Macaca fascicularis: one gene and its partner. The protein of the gene in region 2 interacts with the protein of the main gene of each other region in a biochemical or structural test. Links are inferred from orthologs where the notes say so. Each region holds a gene or a part of one and is shown on either strand. Other genes may lie near its edges.

Region 1 (6,737 bases), about 970 kb from region 2:
TACTTAAGATTTATAAATTATATTTTAATAATTCAAAATGTAATACACATTTACTTTTTAGGTTTAAACAAGTCTCTTAAGTGGTGTTTCATCACCGATGGAGAATTACTTCCAAGCAGAAGCTTACAACCTGGACAAGGTGTTGGATGAATTTGAACAAAACGAAGGTGAGAATTTACATTGGTGAATCTCTTTGCGTTTGTGGTATAGAGAATGTGGGGATATATTATTTAATAATATACAGGGGAAGGAATAACATTTTTTAGCACTAAATGCCAGATACTTACAATCCCCAGACCTTCTTATTGCCATTTTATAGATGAGAGTAGAGGCAAAGAGAGGTTAAGCAAGTTTCTCAAAGTTGTCTTGTGAGCAAGTGGCAGGATTAGAATCCAGGCAGTGTGACACTAGAGCCTGAGCTTTACCTACCCTATACAGTGAATGTATTGTCAAGAAATGCGCTTGCATTTCCTAAACTAAGAAAAATAGCTCGTTCCATATTGATTGCCCAGTAAAGATACATTTAAAACTATTTATATCACAACTGCCTAAATGGTTAATTATATATTCTCAAGCATCAGTAGAAATGTCCACTTAAGATTCACTTCTTTTGTTTGTTGGTTGGTTGGTTGGTTGGTTTGTTTTTTGAGAAAGTCTTGCTCTGTCTCCCAAGCTGGAGTGCAGTGCTCACTGGAACCTCTGCCTCCCTGGCTCAAGTGATTCCCATGCCTCAGCCTCCAGAGTAGCTGGGATTCCAGGCACCCACCACCATGCCTGGCTAATTTTTGTATTTTTAGTAGAGAAGGGGTTTTGCCATGTTGGCCAGGCTGGTCTTAAACTCCTGGTGTCAAGCAGTCCTCCCTCCTCAGCCTCCTATAGGCATGAGCCATCATGCCTGGCCAAGAGATTCACTTCTAATTTCCCTCTTGGTTTAACTTGAATGGGTAAGCTATAATTAAATTTCTTCCTCCTTACTGTATTTCCCCTGTGTTCTCTATTTCTAACAGGAAATGGCATTAACAAGTTTACAAAGTGATATATTTCCATCCAAAGTCCATGATTCCAGTCCAGGCAACATGATGAAACTCCATCTCTACAGAAAATACAAAGAAAATTAGCCAGGTGTGGTGGTGCACCTGTGGTCCCAGCTATTCGGGAGGCAAAGGAGGGAGAATCACTTGAGCCCTAGAGATAGAGGCCGCAGTGAGCTGTGATCATGCCACTGTATTCCGGCCCAGATGACAGAGTGAGACCCTGTCTCAAAAAATAATGTAGCCCATGATTTTCATATTGGTTTACAAACCTTTGCTATATTCAGTGATTCAGGCTATTCGTTGATAGCAGATGGGAAGACAGATTAGTTTTGATTTTGTTGCTTTAGATCTTTAATAGAGCCAGTCTTAAATTGAATATGGGATCATGACAGTAAGGAGGGAAGAGAGAGAGGAAGGCTACCAGAATGGCCTGCTCTTTTCATATTTTACCATTGATGACCTAACACTAACCTGTATTCCTAGACTCATTCCTGATTCATGTAAATGTGAAATCTAATCATTTGGGGTTTTATGTCATCCAGGTGGGCTTTGTACTTACCAAGCTGGAAAGTATATTATTTTCTGAGTTTCAACTGTTTGTATAAGTATTTTCTTAATCTTTTATTAGATTTAGCCCTCTGTGTATCACAGTTCTTTAAGTCATAAGTACCTAGATGTGTATTACACCTAATCATGTGAATACTGTGCTAGAATACCACTGACTCTAATCAAACTCTTGGTTCATTACATTTGTCTCTTTGTGACTTCTGTAGATTCTATTAGGGTGCTTTGTGTATAGTTGTATTTCAATACATTTTTGTTGAATCAGTAAAAATATTTTAGTTAGAAAATAGAGCAATTGCTTACAAAATAATAACTCCTTTAGAAGGAGAAGGATTTCTGAAACCAGCTTCTTCGTTGTAACTTTGTGGTTCATTTGTTTGAACTATTTTTTTGAATCTCACTACCAGTTGCATTAAAAACTACCACTTCAAGCCTTGTGGTATCTTAGAGAATATACTTTAAATAAAATGATTTTTCATTTTGTGTTAATTTATTTTCTTATTTAAATGAAAAAATATACCACAGACTGTGATGACACTAGGCAGTTAACATTATGCCCAGGTAGGAGGCAGTTGAATAATGAAAATTTTAATACCCGATCATTTCTGTTTGAACATTGCTAAATATTCTTGTAAGAAGCTGTAACTATTTTTTTGTTTCCAGGAACCATATTGGAAATATGACTTATTTGCTTTTTTTTCCTTTTCTTTTCTTTTAAGGAAGCCTGTGTTACTAAACTTCAAATGTCTGTAAAATCTGTACTGGTTCAAATTTGGTAAATTCAGGATTTGACATTTCAGAGGATACTAAGCCCATTCTTCACACAATCTGAGTTTTATGCCCTTTTAAACAACAACAACTACTTCTTTACACTAATTCTTTTCTCAACCCAAACTGATTTACTTATTGCTTCCTTAAATTCTTGTATTTGGGGATATGCTTTTCCTTATTCCTCTATTTATTAATGCTTTCTTTTCCAAACTTACATAAAACTGTCTTTGAAGCGTAGACCAGTTCTTCCTGCCTCCATGAATTCAAGCTCACTTGCCTCATCCTGGAAAATATCTTTCTCCTCTGAATTTATTTTCTACTCCTACATAATAGTTTTCAGATACACTGAGTCCTCACTTGATGTCTTTGATAAGTTCCTGGAAACTGTGACTTTAAGCAAATTGATGTACTGTATGCTGGAGAACCTTAACTGTTATTTATATCAATTAGCTTATAGTAAAATTGGCTTCTTTATACAGTGAGTTGTTTTGCTTATAATTGCAGTTTCCAAGAACCTATCAACAATGTTAAGTGAGGACTTACTGTACCTATGCTACTCCATACTGCTAATTAGATGTTTGTATGTATCTCTTATTCTCCCAATGAGATTGTATCCTTCTTAGAGGCAAGAGCTATCGTTTAATCTTCATGTTCCTCAATCCTGATGATTTTACTATGGTAGATATTCACTTACATATTTATTGTATATCTACTACCTATCAGGCACTATGCAAAGTGAGGACTTATATTGACAGAAATGATTTCTGCCTTCAGAAATCATTCAGTAGTTGAAAGAGAAGGGTAAATAAACTATTGCATTTCAGTGTAGTAAATGCCTTAATAAAGTTTTGATTAAGGTGCTATGGAAACATTGAAGATTAATGTTACAGATGAGGATTGAGGTTACAAATATATCTGCATAATTTCAGGGCCACGATTATCAGAGATACTGGAGGAAGAAAGCAGGAAAAGCACTGAATGCATTGTTCCTTATTTCTCTGGTTTACTTAGACATATGCAATAGCCCTGTAACTTGAGAGAATAACTTAGCCATTGTAGTTATGATCTGTTAAAAACTAAACAGAAACATTATATGAAATTATGCTTACTGGTAGACTATAAGAAGGTTGATTTCATATGATAAATGAACACTTTTTGCCCAGTGTCCTTAGATAATAATATAAATATGAACCTGATTAATATTTTGTATTGTGACAAATACAATACAGTATTTTGTATTGTGACAAATACAATATCTGCTTGTGACATGGTTACAAGCAGAATTTCACATACCGTGGCAAACGTTCTTTTAACATGTGTTGGGCAAATTTAAAATATTTTTAAGTAAAAAGTGTAATAAACCCCAGTGTACCCATCATCCAGCTTTCACAGCATTTCATATGCTGCCATTTTGTTTCATTTATACCTTTATCACCTTCTCACTTCCTGCTTCACTCTTATTTTTTTACAGCTTTTTAAAAGGTAAACTTTATATATATTAGAATGCATAGATCTTAACTGTCCAGTTTTGACAAATGGGTATATCACTCAAACCCACATCCCAATTATGATATAGATTGTAGAACATTCAGTCTCTACAGAAAATTTCATTTTCCCTCCTACTTAATTACTTATCCTAGCCACTGTTCTAATATTTTTTCCATCTAATCCATTAGATTAGCACCTGTCCTGGCTTTGCTCAATCCAAGGGTGCTTTCCCCTCTTCTGGGTCCCGTTCACCTGTGGGTCAGTTTAATTATGTTATTAGATTGAGGTAGAATTCTCTTGTTGTTTGGAATAGTCTGAGATATTACCATTTGGTGACATATAATTGCAGAGAATTGTCTGAAATATGTTTTCTTATTTTTAGCCCCGAATTAGAAATCTAATATCCTTGGAATATTTAATTTTCAAAGGATAGTTAGAAATGTTGATTAACTTAGTCATAAGCTTTTCTAGTGTTACAAGCAAACTTATTGTAATTACTTATTTTTTTTTCCAGATGAAACAGTTTCTTCTACTTTATTGGATACAAAGTGGAATAAGATTCTAGATCCCTCTTCTCACCGGCTGTCATTTAACCCTACTTTGGCCAGTGTGAATGAATCTGCAGTTTCTAATGAGTCACAACCACAACTGAAAGTCTTCTCCCTGGCTCATTCAGCTCCCCTGACCACAGAGGAAGAGGATCATTGTGCTAATGGACAAGACTGTAATCTAAATCCAGAGATTGCCACAATGTGGATTGATGAAAATGCTGTTGCAGAAGATCAGTTAATTAAGAGAAACTATAGTCGTGATGATCAATGCAGTGCTGTTGAAGTGGGAGAGAAGAAATGTGGAAACCTGACTTGTCTGCCAGATGAGAAGAATGTTCTTGTTGTAGCCGTCATGCATAACTGTGACAAAAGGACATTACAAAACGATTTACAGGATTGTAATAATTATAATAGTCAATCCCTTATGGATGCTTTTAGCTGTTCACTGGATAATGAAAACAGACAAACTGATCAATTTAGTTTTAGTATAAATGAGTCCACTGAAAAAGATATGAACTCAGAGAAACAATTGGATCCGTTGAATAGACCGAAAATAGAGGGGAATTCTGTTAACCATCTGTGTACTACTTCATCTGATAGTCTAGCCAGTGTCTGTTCCCCTTCACAATTAAAGGATGATGGAAGTATAGGTAGAGACCCCTCCATATCTGCGATTACAAATTTAACGGTTGATTCAGTAATCTCATCCCATGGAACAGATGGAGGTCCTGCTATTAGAAAGCAAGAGAACTATATACCAGATGAGGACCTCACTGGCAAAATCAGCTCTCCTAGGACAGATCTAGGGAGTCCAAATTCCTTTTCTCACATGAGTGAGGGGATTTTGACGAAGAAAGAGCCAGCAGAGGAGAGCACAACTGAAGAATCCCTCCGGTCTGGTTTACCTTTGCTTCTCAAACCAGACGTGCCTAATGGGTCTGGAAGGAATAATGACTGTGAACGGTTTTCAGATTGCATTGTGCCTAGTGAAGTTAGGGCTGATGAAAATGAAGGTTATGAACATGAAGAAATTCTTGGCACTACAGAATTCCTTAATATGACAGGGCATTTCTCTGAATCTCAGGACATGACTAATTGGAAGTTGACTAAACTAAATGAGATGAATGATAGCCAAGTAAACGAAGAAAAGGAAAAGTTTCTACAGATTAGTCAGCCTGAGGACACTAATGGTGATAGTGGAGGACAGTGTGTTGGATTGGCAGATGCAGGTCTAGATTTAAAAGGAACTTGCATCAGTGAAAGTGAAGAATGTGATTTCTCCACTGTTATAGATACACCAGCAGCAAATTCTCTATATAATGGTTGTGATTCCTATGGAATGCAGGGCCCAGGTGTTTCTTTTGTTCCAAAGACTTTACCCTCCAAAGAAGATTCAGTAACAGAAGAAAAAGAAATAGAGGAAAGCAAGTCAGAATGCTACTCAAATATTTATGAACAGAGAGGAAATGAGGCCACAGAAGGGAGCGGACTACTTTTAAATAGCACTGGTGACCTAATGAAGAAAAATTATTTACGTAATTTCTGTAGTCAAGTTCCATCAGTGCTTGGGCAGTCTTCCCCCAAGGTAGTAGCAAGCCTGCCATCTATCAGTGTTCCTTTTGGTGGTGCAAGACCCAAGCAACCTTCTAATCTTAAACTTCAAATTCCAAAGCCATTATCAGACCATTTACAAAATGACCTTCCTGCAAACAGTGGAAATAATACTAAAAATAAAAATGATATTCTTGGGAAAGCAAAATTAGGGGAAAACTCAGCAACCAATGTATGCGGTGCATCTTTGGGAAACATCTCTAATGTTGATACAAATGGGGAACATTTAGAAAGTTATGAGGCTGAGATCTCCAGTAGACCATGCCTTGCGTTAGCTCCAGATAGCCCAGATAATGATCTCAGAGCTGGTCAGTTTGGAATTTCTGCCAGAAAGCCATTCACCACTCTGGGTGAGGTGGCTCCAGTGTGGGTACCGGATTCTCAGGCTCCAAATTGCATGAAATGTGAAGCCAGGTTTACATTCACCAAAAGGAGGCACCACTGCAGAGCATGTGGGAAGGTAAGTTGCATGCATAAGCTCAGAAATCTGGCATGCACATTTTGTAATGCTGAATTAGATAGTAATAAAGGCAATGTAAGGTGAATATATGTCTGGTTGAGTTGACATAAATAGCACTTTTGAAAACCCAGTTCTAGTAAATTTCTGTATAAAAAATGACCTCACTGATTCTTAGATAGTATATACACTTTTTTTTTGTTGCCATGATTTACGCTGAATCAGTTTTTATGAAGAGATGAGAATTGAGGAAGTGTAAAC
Region 2 (5,944 bases):
ACGGCAAAGAATCAAAGCAAAATCAGCTAAGGGGAAAGGTGCTTTGGTCCAAAGGGAACTAAGCGCAAGCTTCCCAGAGTTATCTCCTAGTGGAATCACACAGGACGTGCTTAATTCCTTCAACATATATGAAAGGTTTTCTGCCAGAGAAGCTCATTTGCGGACTCAGTGCCCCAGGTACTGATTAGGCACCCACTGCCTGACATACGACAAAATTCCAGATTCTCAGAGGGAAAGCGGGTGTTGAACATAAACCATATAGTATTTGTTTATATAGAGAATCAGCAGGGAATGGTGGGAACCACCCCCAAATCCACATCTTTTTGTTGTTGTTGAGATGGAGTCTCACTCTGTCACCCAGGCTGCAGTGCAGTGGCAAGATCTCGGCTCACTGCAACCTCTGCCTCCTGGGTTCAAGCAATTTTCTTGCCTCAGCCTCCTAAGTAGCTGGGATTACGGGCATGCACCACCACACCCAGCTAATTTTAGTATTTTTAGTAGAGATGGGGTTTCACCTTGTTGGCCAGGCTGGTCTCGAACTCCTGACCTCAGGTGATCGCCTTCCTCGGCCTTCCAAAGTTCTGGGATTACAAGCGTGAGCCACTGCACCTGGCCATCACATCTTTTAAAATTGTTTTTATACCCCTGTCTAATCTTCTACTCACTCAGTGTCTGTTAGCCAACAATTGAATCAAGATTCCATTTTGCTACCTAGAAAATCAGAGGCTCTCTAGTTACAAAAACAATTGATAACTCAGATATCAAGCCATTTTTAAACAAGTATCATGGGAATTAAAATTTAAAATTAGGCATGTGTGGTAAGAAGGGTGAGGCCACATTCATCTTTAAAATATCAGGAGGTCTTAGTCATTTCCTTTCTTCTATGGTTTTCTGAAAATTTGCATGTAAACTGAAATTAGATTGTTGAATCATTTTAAATATCTAAAAGATACATAGAGGGTTCCTTTGTTTTAACAAAAAAATACCAAAGGAGAAAATACACTCATAACATGAATTAAAATATAGTTTTTATTTTCTTCTTTAATGTTTATTAATGTTTCATCATAAAGTAGAACTTTCCTTTTCTGTTCTGCTTTCTGTATTCTCTACACATATGTGAAGAGACTGAGACACAAGACTGAAGAAATCTAGCCTCTGAAAAACCCATAGTTGGCGTTTATTTGCTCTAAAACAATTTAGTTATTTTTGTTTGTTAGATTCAAGGATTTAAGAGACCCTTTATATCATCCAAAGTCTTAAACCAGTTTGTTCCCAGTTTGCATGTGGATGACAGTTCATCAAAACTGGTCAACTAGGACTGAGACTAAGATTCAGGAAGTTAGTCTAGACTGGAAATAGTAATTCAAGGGTCGAAGAACTCAGAGCTGGCAGAGATCACAACAGAGGCTAAGAGTTTGTAGTATTCAAAGAGAAGCCAGAAAGTTAGGACCAAAGCCAAGGACAGTAGCACTTAGCTTAAAGTCTGCAAAGCGGAGAATCATGATGAGTAGAATCATGACGATGGGGAGATGTTAGATAGAATAATTTACAAATATTGGCATTTACAAAGCTCTTAGTTACCTCATGACTGTATCAGCTCTCTGAAGTGGGTGCTGTTATCTGCTTTATTCAAATACATTATTCAAATACATTAAGGGACTTGGTCCAAGCAATCACAGTAAGTAGCTGAGCGGAGACTGAAATCTCATAATTTAATTCTTCAGACTGAAAATCTCATCTTCTGAGATAGTAGTGTTTTTCAGACTGTTGATTCTGAGGATTCTGCAAAGGTAACCAAGGTGAGGGCTTGCGGATGGGGAGCCTCATCCCTCCTAGGCCACACTCCATCCCAGCTTCATTCCATCAGAGTTGCTCAGTTTTAAATATTATTATTATAGGCCAGGCACCATGGCTTACCCCTATGGTCCCACTACTCAGGAGGCTGAGGTTGGAGGATTGCTTGAGCCCGAGAGGTTGAGTTTATAGTAAGTTGTGTTTGTGCCACTGCATTTAAGCCTGGGCAACAGAGGGAGACCCTGTCTCAAATAAAAGGTGGGGGTTATACATATGACTCCTTTGAATGAATTGTGTAAAAAATCCATTGGATTAGGAGCAGTAGAATTCTAATTTCAGTATTGTCAATTATGTGACTGTAGGCAAGCTTGGTCCTATGAAATGGGAAAGTGAGTCTTAGATGACTTTCAGATTTATTTTTGCCATAGTCCAATCCATTAAAAAATTTTTTTCAAATTATTTTTAGAGATAGGGTCTTGCTATGTTGTCCAGGCTAGTCTCTTATCACATGGAAATAGTTCATTTAACATTGCATGCCAGCTCTTCAGTGATGTTTGTGTTTATATCCTTTAGGCAGAATGAGAATGTTTTGTTGTATGTTTTGTTCCAATAGCTGAAGTTGAGGCAGGGTGAAACACACAGTCAATACAGCCACACACTAGCCCAGCTTCCTGCCCTCCCAGGGCTCCCTTTCCCTTCTATCTCTGACTAAAAAATAAGCCCTCAAAAGGTTTTGAAAAAATAATCTTTTTCCTCCATATTTTAATATTTTAGGAACAAGTTCCAGTTCCAGTCTACCACCCAACACCTAGCCAGACTCGGCTAGCAACTCAGCTGACTGAAGAGGAACAAATTAGGATAGCTCAAAGAATAGGCCTTATACAACATCTGCCTAAAGGAGTTTATGACCCTGGAAGAGATGGATCAGAAAAAAAGATCCGGGAGTAAGTTTTAATTAATTTGTACATTTCAAAATTTTATTTTCAGGTTGCTTTTGAAAATTTTGCCTTTTCTCCTGCACTTTAGAAAGTCAGACATTTAATATGTTGAAACACTTTGCTTAATGCAAGAGAATGTTTAATTTTTTTTCATAGCTCTATTACTGGCTACTAGCAAGAGAATGTTATATAGTAATTACAAATTTTCACAGGCTGGGCACAGTGCCTCACACCTGTAATCCCAGCATGTTTGGAGGCTGAGGTGGGCAGATCACTTGAGACCAGGAGTTCAAGACCAACCTGGCCAACATGGTGAAACCTCATCTCTAATAAAAATACGAAAATTTGCCAGGCATGGTGGCACATGCCTGTAATCCCAGCTACTCGGGAGGCTGAGGTGGGAGAATCACTTGAAACTCTGTCTCAAAAAATAAAATTAAATTAAATTAATAAATAAAGAGAAAGTTAGTGAAGAGAGCTTTAACTTTCAGCAACCCAGTAAGTAGGCTGAAGTTAGTGTTTCTGTTTTACAGTTATTAAAATGAAAATTGTCTTAGTCCAGGATTACACTAAATAGTGCAAAAAAACAAAGTTGATCTAACTGATGCTTTTCTACCTAAAATAATCCCATTCTCCTTAAGGTATCTGCTATAGTATGTAGCTGTTTACAAGCACAGCAGTAAACTTGATCCATATGTAATCCATTTCTCTTTGCTCTGTTGATTGCTCCTAAGTCCTGCAAATTCTCGGGGGATTTAAATAAGAAATTGTGTATAGATCAACATTAGGAAAAAATTCAGTTTGCATGCTTTGGTGATAAGATGACAGGCAAAGCATTCTGATGTGTTACTCAGATTAACACTGTCTTTAATGGGATTTAAACAGTTTTCTGAATAGGACACTTCCGAAAATGCCTTCTGATTTCTCTCCATTGCTCCCAACAGGTGTGTGATCTGTATGATGGACTTTGTTTATGGGGACCCAATTCGATTTCTGCCGTGCATGCACATCTATCACCTGGACTGTATAGATGACTGGTTGATGAGATCCTTCACGTGCCCCTCCTGCATGGAGCCAGTTGATGCAGCACTGCTTTCATCCTATGAGACTAATTGAGCCAGGGTCTCTCATCTGACTTCAAGTGAACCACCATTTTGGTGGTTTTGATCTTTTGTCACTGAGCCCAAAGAGCCAGGGATTAGGAATTAAGATCATGCACAAAAGTTTCCTTAAAATTCCTGGATGGCTGCAGATGTTGGGGGAAAAGTACGTGATATTTTAGAAACTTAGTGGGAAAAGTAGGATGGTATTTTTATGTAAAGCCTTGACCCAATGTTTAAAAATATAATTGTATTTAGATCTTGTTATTGCTCCAGTACATAGGAATTGTGTAAAGTGTTACAGCAGCTGTATTTGTTTAAATTGTGTGTATTGAAGATTAGGAAAAAGATAGTAGTTATTTTTCCTAAATGAAATAACTTTCTTCTCTTCCCCTTCCCCACCCAAATTCTTTTCTGAAGTTGCTGACATTTGGGTCAAGGTTTTATTAAAAGCTACATTTTATAACACTGGCACACACAAAAAAGTAGTTTTAAGCTTGTTTGCACAGTTCTTTTTTTCCATTGGAAATGGAATTCATTGCCTTAGGTCTTTTTAAATAGTGTATTATTATCGTTGGGGCTGGCTCTATGCTTGAAAACCAGTTTATTTATAACCTGTTATAAGTGCTATATTCTGTTTGCAGTTAGGAAATGCAGAATTCAAAGTGATCTCCTAGCTTGTAAGCAAACTGAGATGCACTATCCCTTTTCTATAAAAAATAAGTTAATGTGTCAAGAAACCAACTCTATTAAAGTGGGGTTTAATATTGCCCTTTCCTATGTGTTTTATCTAATTATTTTGGTTGTTAATATGGTGATAATGGAAAGTCAAGTTAAATTTTAAATATTAAGAATTCTGATTTATTGAGATTGAATTATGCCACCACGTTTATGTAAAAATGAAGGTGGCACCTTGGTGAGACCTAATGAGAAATAATTACTCAGTTGTAACAATTTTGATTTATTTTCTTTCTTCTGACCTCCTTCCCTCTTGTCTTGAACCATAGCAAAAGGATACTGCATCTCTCATTACTGTAGTGCTGAGGTTATTGAAGTTATATAAAACACATCTCAGTCTCTGTTTCTTGGAAAGGTATCTATTACATCCTGCTAGCTGACTGACAAAACTAAGCAGGGAGAATAAAGATAATTGTATTTTATGTTTTGCACACAAACACAGAATTTGTATAACCATATGACTTCATAGTTGTGATCTCAAAAAAGAAGGAATTTCTCCTTTGTTTCTTGCAGTTAATGTAAGAATACTTTAAATCTCTAAGCTTCTGAAGTGTTAGAGGTAGAGATGGTCTAGTAAAGATGTAGTAGTAATGTTTTATCCATTTAGCATGTGTTTATTTTTTCATATGTACTCAAAGGTGACTTATTGGTTCACCTCAGTGATATTACATACAGCTAAAAAAAATCATTCATTAGCAAAAGGAAAAGTGGTCTCAACCTAACATCAGAAGTGTTTCTTATTATTATTTTATATTGGGTTGAATATTGAACTCTAACACTTTTCTACATACAAAACACTGTCATGAAGGTTATGCATAATTGCATTATAGAGGAATGTAGTATGTCATAAGTACTTTGTAAAGATTTGACATTCAACTGTAGTATCCATATGTTGCTTAAATTTCTTTATGAGCCCCATGATGGAAAGACTTAAAGATGAATTTGAGAAAAATTGAAGAAATTAGATGATCAGGTTCTGTTAAATTGTTACATGTATCTTGCTTAAATTTCTGTTTATTAATTTATATCCACCCAATTACATAAAGCAGATTTGGAGGAAACAACTGAGGTTGTGCAATATTTTCTGTGATAATTGCTTTTTTATTCTTGTGTTTTCTACTTAAACATGATGTCTGTCATCAAGTATTATAGTCAGACTTTCTTTTTTTCTAGATTGTTAAAATTGGTAAATGAACTTTTTTTAAAATCATCTTCCATGTTGCAGTTAGTCTTTCTTTTCAATACAAGTCTTTCACAGAAGTTTGGAGGTAATACTGAAGGAACTAGCATTGGGCAGAATGTGTCATTTTTAGGCACTTTGTATTCTCAACATGCAATGTTAAGAACCATCAATTTTGACTTTTACTAAGTTGT

The links. The genes of interacting proteins can lie anywhere in the genome.
Region 1: the proteins of RNF11 (region 2) and ZFYVE9 form a complex in vitro, tested with the Homo sapiens proteins (2 studies listed by BioGRID). The link is inferred for Macaca fascicularis from reciprocal best matches to the Homo sapiens genes RNF11 and ZFYVE9.

The regions. Positions count from the first base shown.
Region 1 is NC_088375.1:182,496,096-182,502,832, reverse strand, and holds part of ZFYVE9 (zinc finger FYVE domain-containing protein 9), read left to right. Parts: intron 1-61; 5' UTR 62-97; coding exon 98-167; intron 168-1,007; exon of another isoform or gene 1,008-1,122; intron 1,123-4,371; coding exon 4,372-6,479; intron 6,480-6,737. UniProt on the Homo sapiens protein: Early endosomal protein that functions to recruit SMAD2/SMAD3 to intracellular membranes and to the TGF-beta receptor.
Region 2 is NC_088375.1:183,466,714-183,472,657, reverse strand, and holds part of RNF11 (RING finger protein 11), read left to right. Parts: intron 1-2,568; coding exon 2,569-2,738; intron 2,739-3,676; coding exon 3,677-3,848; 3' UTR 3,849-5,944. UniProt on the Homo sapiens protein: Essential component of a ubiquitin-editing protein complex, comprising also TNFAIP3, ITCH and TAX1BP1, that ensures the transient nature of inflammatory signaling pathways. Promotes the association of TNFAIP3 to RIPK1 after TNF stimulation.